Arabidopsis thaliana: one gene and its partner. The protein of the gene in region 2 interacts with the protein of the main gene of each other region in a pairwise test. Each region holds a gene or a part of one and is shown on either strand. Other genes may lie near its edges.

Region 1 (4,423 bases), on a different chromosome or scaffold from region 2:
TCCTTTGGATGATGGTCATATTTTTGCCTTTTTTATATGGCTTTAGATGGAGATATGGATGAGTGGGATCAAGAGACCCTTGAAAAGGTTGTTGAATCAAAGAAAAATGAATATAATCAGAATAAGCCAACAGATATCGTAAGTTGTTTCTCTTATCTTGTGTTTCTCGGACTTTTTATTATATGCTTGTCGGGACATGCTTATCAGTTATTAGTAGCTTTTCTCTTGTTAATGCACTGTGAAAATGTCTGAACTGGTTTGTGTTCAAATATACAGCCTTTTAACGTGTATTATGTGAAGTGATGCATTAGTTTTGGTTGCACTTGCTGTGATTAACCTTTAGCTGATGTGCATTCGCCTTACGATGCGCTTCCTTTAGCTAATAGCACGGTTCATATTAAGAGCCATTAGGGTCTTAGATGTTATTATGCCTCCCGTTGTTCCCTTGTGTTTTTCTGCGCACTTGGTTCATGCCTGACAAGAACTCATGCTTTTGGTGATGTTAGTGCTAATCATAATTTTGAAATAAATGTTTCTTAACTATATACGTCTATGCTAAAAGAAATAATATCTCTGCGTCTCATCTCAATAATCATCTCATAAACTTATCCTAAACACATGAGTTATTTGTCTCGCTGAGTTTTATTGACTTGTAATTGTTTTTGTGTTTACTGAAAAATAATAGGTTTGCAAGTATTTTCTGGATGCTGTGGAAAAGAAACAGTATGGGTGGTTCTGGTCATGCCCCAATGGTGGCAAAGAGTGTCATTACAGACACGCGCTTCCTCCTGGATATGTCCTTAAATCTCAAATGAAAGCCCTCTTGGAAGAGGAGTCATCGAAGAAGCTGGCAGTTGAGGACGAAATCGAAAACGAGGTTTAAAATACTCCTCAAGTTTCCCTCATAGCTGCTAGGACCCGGTACTTGATTTGTGAGACCCATGTTTTCTTGTTCTATGTTTCAGCGTGCAAAACTGCAAACCGCAACACAAATGACTCCTGCACTATTTATGGAATGGAAGAGGAAGAAAATTGCTGAGAGAGATGCCGGTTTGGCTGCTTCTCAAGCGGAGAGAGCTAAGAACGACCGTATGAGGTAATCCCCATTCATCATTCTGTTACATATCCATCTCCAGTGTGACTCTATTTTTGTCCTTGGAAGCTGATTCATTGTGTGGATTTGTAACCTCAGTGGTCGGGAGCTGTTTCTGTCCAATGCAAGCTTGTTTGTGGATGATGCTGAGGCTTGTGAAGAATACGAGAGGGAAAGAGAGCAGGAAGAGACTGAACAAAAGGTGAGCTCTCTCTCTCTCTCTCTCTCTCTCTCTCTCTCTCTCTCTCTCTCACTCACTCATCATTTAAAACAACCAAGTCATGTTAATGGAATCTTGAGTTTTTTGCTTTTCAGGCAAAGAACAAAGAAGCAGAGGCAGGGACAAGCAAGAGTAGTGGTGATGCTGAACAGAGTTCGAAAGAAGTCAATGAAGAAGAAGAAGATGACGATGATGATGATGATGACCTAGACATGGATGAGCTGGATGAATTGGAAGCAAGCTTGTCGAAAACATCGATCCAGATTCGTGAGCCAAACGACGAAGGGTCATCTTGAAATGAAAAATGGTCTAAGAGGAAGAGGTGGAGGAGAGAAAGCACATGTTTTGTTTTTGTGTACTTTCAATAGATTGGATTTTGCAGACACAAACCCCATTTTGGGGTGTTGAATAATTTCTGTTACTGTTTTACAGTCTTAAATGGCCTCATCAAAGAACTAGTAGTATCTTTTTTGTCCAATCATTTTCATCTTTCTTTGTTGTTGTTAATTTTATCATGATGTGTAAATAAAAGGTCGTAAACTTACTAGAGAAAATAAAAACTACAGAAATGTATTAAAAACAAAGAATTTTAATCAATTCTTATGAATATTTAGTTGTTTTATTGATATTTATAAATAAAGAACAAAAAATATCGGCGATATAAAAAGAGGTAAATTAATCTGAGGGCAAAAATAAGAAAAGCATCCAATTTCGTCGGAAGAAGAAATCGCCATGGTAGCCGCAACAGTAAACCTCGCGAACATGACATGGACGTCGTTAAATTCAAATCCAGCAATCTCTTTCTCCATGTTAAGCGGAATCAGAAACTTGGGCATGTTACCTTTCAGGAGATGTCTAAAGCCGACAGTTATCGGAATCGCGTCGTGGCCACCACTCCGTTGTTCTTCTGTTAAGGCTATGTCTTCATCATCGTCTTCGTCTGGATCGACATTGGAGGAGACTGTTAAAACGACTGTGGCAGAGAACCCTGTCGTTGTTTACTCCAAAACCTGGTGCTCGTAGGTTCACTATACTTTTTGGTTCAATTAGAGGAATGGGTTTTGTTAATTTATGATCTAGTTTGTCAATATTGATACTTTTACTGGGTTTGTTCTTTTTGGTGGTGAAGATACTCGTCTCAAGTGAAGTCCTTGTTCAAGAGTCTTCAAGTTGAGCCACTGGTTGTTGAATTGGATCAACTTGGTATGCTCAATTCTTTACTTTGGTTTGCTATATGGGTCTGAGTAGTTTGCTATATTGGTTTTGATAATGTGTGTGATATTGTTTATATCGATCAAGGAAGAGCTGGTTACAAGTGCCCTAATGTTTCAGCATTTTGACTGGATGAAATTAATACTTGTTTCCAACTTCTTCTTGTTTATCTTCTGGTTCATTTGGCTGCTTGCTTGAATTGGTTTGTATGTTTTTTGATTAGATTTTGATGGAGGATTGATGATGGTTAGGGGGGTTTCTAATGGCCTAAGATAGCTTTACATTTCAGAGATTCTGTGTCTTGTTTATGTGAAAAATTTACTTCCACTGTAGTTTTCCTTGGACCAATGACTTGTTGATGAAGAATCAACGGGTAGGCTAGTACTTCTAATGGCTTAAATTTTTCAAATTGAAGATTCTTTCCTGCCTTTGAATCTTAGACAGTATGCTTCTATTTGTTAGAAACTATTATGTTGCTATCTTCTTAGTTATCTTTTCTCGTGTCAAGATTTGGTGACTTTCCAAAACCATTTGTTCTTTCTTGTCTTGTTTAGTTTCTTTGGGTAAAACATCTCTGCCTCATGATATTGGTCTGAAACATTTACAAAAGTTTTGGTGGTTTTTGGCGTTTCCAGGTTCAGAAGGGTCGCAGCTGCAGAATGTGTTGGAGAAAATTACTGGACAATACACTGTTCCCAATGTTTTCATCGGTTAGTTGTTTCATCATTTAAGCCAGTTACTAACTATACTCTGATCATTTTTCTTGATTATTTTGCCTGAAAACAAAACTATCGATAAAATCTTAGCCACTACATTTGCTATGACCATCACTTATCTAATTTTGATATCATGTTTTTGTTCATGACCAGGAGGCAAGCACATTGGTGGCTGCTCAGGTACAATCTCTCTTCCTTTCTTACCTCAACACCGAGATTTTTCTAATATGTAATTGAGATCGTCTTTGTGTATTTTGGCACCAAGATAGATAGTACTCAAGATCTTGCTCAATGTCTTGTGATTTTTCTGGTAACTTGACCTGCATATCATTATTGTTGAACAGATACATTGCAGCTGCACAATAAAGGAGAGCTGGAAGCAATTTTAGCTGAAGCCAATGGAAAAAACGGTCAGACCTAGAGATTTCTAGAGATGAAACTGGTTGGTGATTCTTCATGTTTCCTTATTGAAGTCGAGATGATTTGCTGTTTGAATTTACTGTCTATATAGAGATTTTCAATAAGAATCTTGTGTTTCTTTCTACGTACAAAAAACAGTCAATGAGTCATGCTGGGTTCTGTTACTAAACCGGAGTTGCTGAGTTTGATCCACACTACTTGGAATTTGCAATCATTTTTGGGTGGCTAAATGCATATTTGGAAATCGATCTTGAGATTGTAAAAGATAAAAGATGAATTGTTGGTTAACTTTTTGGTACATACGGTTTTGTTTAAGATTACAAACAGACGAACCGGTTTAGAGATAAACCATGTCTCTCATTTTACTTCTTCCACCTCGTCCAATGCGTAGTTGTTGGTCGATATATTCGCGTAATTCACCTTGGCGAACCGGACCACAACCGGATATCGGGTCTTCGGGTCCTGACAATTTAGACCGGAATATAAGATGAAACGATATCTAACCGTTAGATCGTTAACTTCAAAAGTAAATGCATTACCTGATCAACGGCCACAACTGATCCAACGTTCTTGTACCAGTATGATTCTTTCCTTAGAATCTTGACCTGTAAGTCCTCAAAATTGTTTATAAATTTCACAGTAGCCCTATAACTCTTAATATGTATACTAAATAGACCCAGAACTTATTGATGATACCCAGTTTAGCTCAAATATTAGTCCAATCTTCTCTACTAGCATCTAATTAAGCTTGAATTTTCTTCT
Region 2 (3,482 bases):
GCTTCGTAGAGCTCTTCTTTTATATGAGAAACTGTAATCTCTTCTTGTTCTTGTTCTTGTTCTTCATCTTGTTGTTGTTCATTTGGGGAGGAACAAGAACTCTGTTCTGTGACTTTCCCGATGAACATGGGTCTGAGCCTAAATGAGTTGTCACTAAAACTCAGCGTTTTGCCATTAGAACTGGTGAAAGAGACTAATACTTTCACGTTTCCTGTTCTTCTCGAGATTGCTCCTCGTGAAGCTGCCATTGATGGTGGCTGGAAAAGGTTACTCGTCATTAGCAGTTTATACACCAGAATCTCTAAACCCAATGGAGCTTAATAAGAAGTAGAAGAAGAAGATGGGATTTGAGGAAAAAGAGAGAGAGATAGATTTATGGGGAGGAGAATGGACAGTTTTTTTTGGTTATTTTATCCATCTTTTAGCATCTATCTCTCCCCCCCACCATACACTGCACTGACTCTATTATAAAATTTAGCCAATCCCATTGGTCTTTTTTTTCTTTTTTAAGATGGTGTCATGGTAAAATTCTCAAAAAAATCTCCATCTAAATTGAGAAAAACCCAATTTTTGTTATATTTTGCAACCAATTGCATATGTTTTAAAAAAGTGTTTACACTTCATCAAAAGCAGTAATCGGAGTACAGTAACCACAAAGTATCAACATAGTAAATGCTCTGTTCTTTGTCACAAGGCTTTTAAAAAACAGAAATTCAGGCATCTTTGGTTAAGGTTGCAGAGTCTTGTGATGGTGGCTTCCATTGTTGTGGAGTCTGAGCTTTCTTAATAGAGAGAGCATGAATCTCTTTCATTTCTTCTTCTAGCGCAGCATTCACCATACGATGCCTCTCCAGCAATCTCTTCCCTTCGAATTGTTCAGAGACAACCTCCACTTCAAAACTCGAACCACAACTGCAATAAACAGTTTTGCTGATATTAAGAACAAGAAATTATGCCATAAGCCAGAGAATCAAATGTGTATTGACAATCCGGTACTTACCCTCCAGATATGTCAATGACTTCCTGGTACACACAAAAACAAACAATGTCACTAAAAAATTCTAAAAGCTAAAGATTGAAACAATTGGAACACATGAATCAAGTGAAAAGGGAAATAGATTGACATTGAAGTAACTTCAATCTTCACATGTTATAAAGCAAAGAAACTATACACATCCTTGGATCTGCTTTTTGAGTTCTAGTTCACAAAAAACCATGACACAAATAAAATTTTCCGACAAGAACACTCACTACTAAGTTGCTAATACATCAGGAACACTACGTCATCAAATCCTGAGCTCAGTATCACACTGCATCAAATTACACCTAACTACGCAAACAACCACCTTTTATATTCTGTTTCAGAGCTGAAAGACAACACATAGTGATGTATAATCTAGATGCTGAGATTATTACAATACATAGTACCTCTTATGATCCAACTATCAAAGTGTATGATTTTGATCAAAGTGAGCAGGTCAAAAATCTCAAATTTGGCAATTTTCCCAGATCAATTTGATGATTAGGGTTTCAAAGTTTCCCACAAAAGTTTCAAACCCTAATCAATAGATGAAATTGAAAGAAGAAAGCAGTATAAGAACACTCACGAGATGAATTGGCTTAAGTTTCGAAGTCAATGAAGCTTCGACTTGCTCCTTCGTCACCATCTCTCTCTCTCTCTCTCAAACAAAAATTGAAATCCCTAATTACTGTACTCATTGAATTAGAATATTAAACCATACGCTATTTGGTTTTGGTTTAGCGAGAGTACGGTTTAGTTTGGTTCAATTGGGATACCATTCGGTTATCGACAATTCCAAAATAATAACTAGGGTTTAAGCTCTGCTTTCCTTTACTTCGTCTTCCTCACTCCTAAAACCCTCTCAGTCTCTCCATTTCCCGGAGCAAAAATAGCTCTCCGACCATGAAGTTTGGATCTTTACCATCCAAATCCCTTCTCTTCCGCCTCTCTTCTTCCTCCACAACCCAATCTCACCGTCGAACAATTACCCTTTTCATCACTAACATTCATTCCTCTCCATTCTCCACCACAACCACCTCCGGCTCCAATTTCGTCTCCGGATCCAGCCATTCTCCCTCTCGACGTCCTCAGCAAGACGAAGAGTCCCGATCCGTTAGGGTTTCGGTCTGGTGGGACTTCCTGAGCTGTAACTTACCTGTAGACACCAATGTCTACAAAGTAGCACAATCAATCACCGCCGCTATCAGAAACAGCGGAATCAAAGGACCAATCACAATCACAGCCTTCGGTGACGTTTTACAGCTCCCCAGATCAAACCAAGACGCTCTCTCCGCTACAGGAATCAGTCTCACTCATGTTCCTAACGGTGGTAAGAACAGTGCTGATAGATCTCTAATCACAGATCTTATGTGTTGGGTTTCTCAGAATCCACCACCAGCTCATCTTTTGCTAATCTCTAGTGATAAGGAGTTTGCAAGTGTGTTACATAGATTGAGGATGAACAATTACAACATTTTGCTTGCGAGTAAATCATCAGCTCCTGGTGTTTTGTGTAGTGCTGCTTCTATTATGTGGGATTGGGATGCTTTGATTAAAGGAGAGTGTGTTACTGGTAAGCATTTTAATCAGCCTCCTGATGGTCCTTATAACTCTTGGTATGGTCACTATAGGATTCCTCTTCTTGATCCATTTGCTATTGCTACCACTACTGAGCAATCTTCGTCTAGTGTGAAAATCGAAGAACTATCCGAGTCTGTGAATTCGAATGCTGTTGTTAACCTTCGTCCTATTCCAAAAGAAGTTGTTGATAAGATTCGTTCGATAGTGAGTTTATATCCCAAGGGGGCTGCCATTACAGAACTACGTGCTGAGCTGAGTAAGAGCAACTTGGCTATTGATAAAGATTTCTATGGACATAAGAAGTTTTCGAAGTTTCTTTTATCCATGCCAGATATCTTACAGGTTACTACAGTAAGTGAAGGCTTGTTTATGATTCGGGCTGTTACCGAAAAGAAGCCTCCGATGCGGCTTGATTCTAGTCCTCGTTTGTCTACTGCTGTTGATCAGAAGATTAAAGATAAGGAAACTGTTAATGCTCCATCACCAAAGCTAATTAGCGATGTAGAGCTTGCTGCTGAAAGAAGAAGAGATGGCTTACTTGGAAAGAAGCAGGAAAAGGTATTGGAGAGTGATAAAATTGTTAAAGAAGAATCATCAGAGAGTTCTCAAGACCCAATTCTGGTCGGCCAGAAGGATGTTAAGGCAAATGTTAAACCCGTCGAGACGAATCAAGTCGCTCTTGTTGCGTGGAGTGATTCGTCCATGGAAGATGGCTTTTTTCAAAAGCTAAAAAGACTGTGGTATGGTTCACCTGAGATGGAATTAGAGCATCTCCCAGAAATGAAGAGCGTTTCTGGAAGTGGAGACACACATAGAGAGGATAATGACTTAAAGTCATCAAGTCAGGGAAGTGGAAACAAACATAAAGAGGATAAGGACT

Evidence for each region. The genes of interacting proteins can lie anywhere in the genome.
Region 1: the proteins of AT5G09830 (region 2) and AT2G20270 interact in a two-hybrid assay, tested with the Arabidopsis thaliana proteins (one study listed by BioGRID).

What each region holds. Positions count from the first base shown.
Region 1 is NC_003071.7:8,737,240-8,741,662, reverse strand, and holds AT2G20270 (Thioredoxin superfamily protein), read left to right. Parts: upstream 1-2,002; 5' UTR 2,003-2,045; coding exon 2,046-2,332; intron 2,333-2,442; coding exon 2,443-2,516; intron 2,517-3,079; coding exon 3,080-3,235; intron 3,236-3,394; coding exon 3,395-3,421; intron 3,422-3,585; coding exon 3,586-3,662; 3' UTR 3,663-3,877; downstream 3,878-4,423. Other genes in the region: AT2G20280 (Zinc finger C-x8-C-x5-C-x3-H type family protein), read left to right, coding at 47-138, 686-877, 966-1,096, 1,193-1,295, 1,409-1,609; PSAE-2 (photosystem I subunit E-2), read right to left, coding at 4,019-4,123, 4,201-4,266. UniProt on the Arabidopsis thaliana protein: May only reduce GSH-thiol disulfides, but not protein disulfides.
Region 2 is NC_003076.8:3,057,103-3,060,584, forward strand, and holds AT5G09830 (BolA-like family protein), read right to left. Parts: upstream 1,724-3,482; 5' UTR 1,668-1,723; coding exon 1,608-1,667; intron 1,024-1,607; coding exon 1,001-1,023; intron 913-1,000; coding exon 714-912; 3' UTR 501-713; downstream 1-500. Other genes in the region: AT5G09820 (Plastid-lipid associated protein PAP / fibrillin family protein), read right to left, coding at 1-278; AT5G09840 (Putative endonuclease or glycosyl hydrolase), read left to right, coding at 1,925-3,482. UniProt on the Arabidopsis thaliana protein: May act either alone or in interaction with glutaredoxin as a redox-regulated transcriptional regulator, or as a factor regulating Fe-S cluster biogenesis. The GRXS17-BOLA2 heterodimer binds a labile, oxygen sensitive iron-sulfur cluster.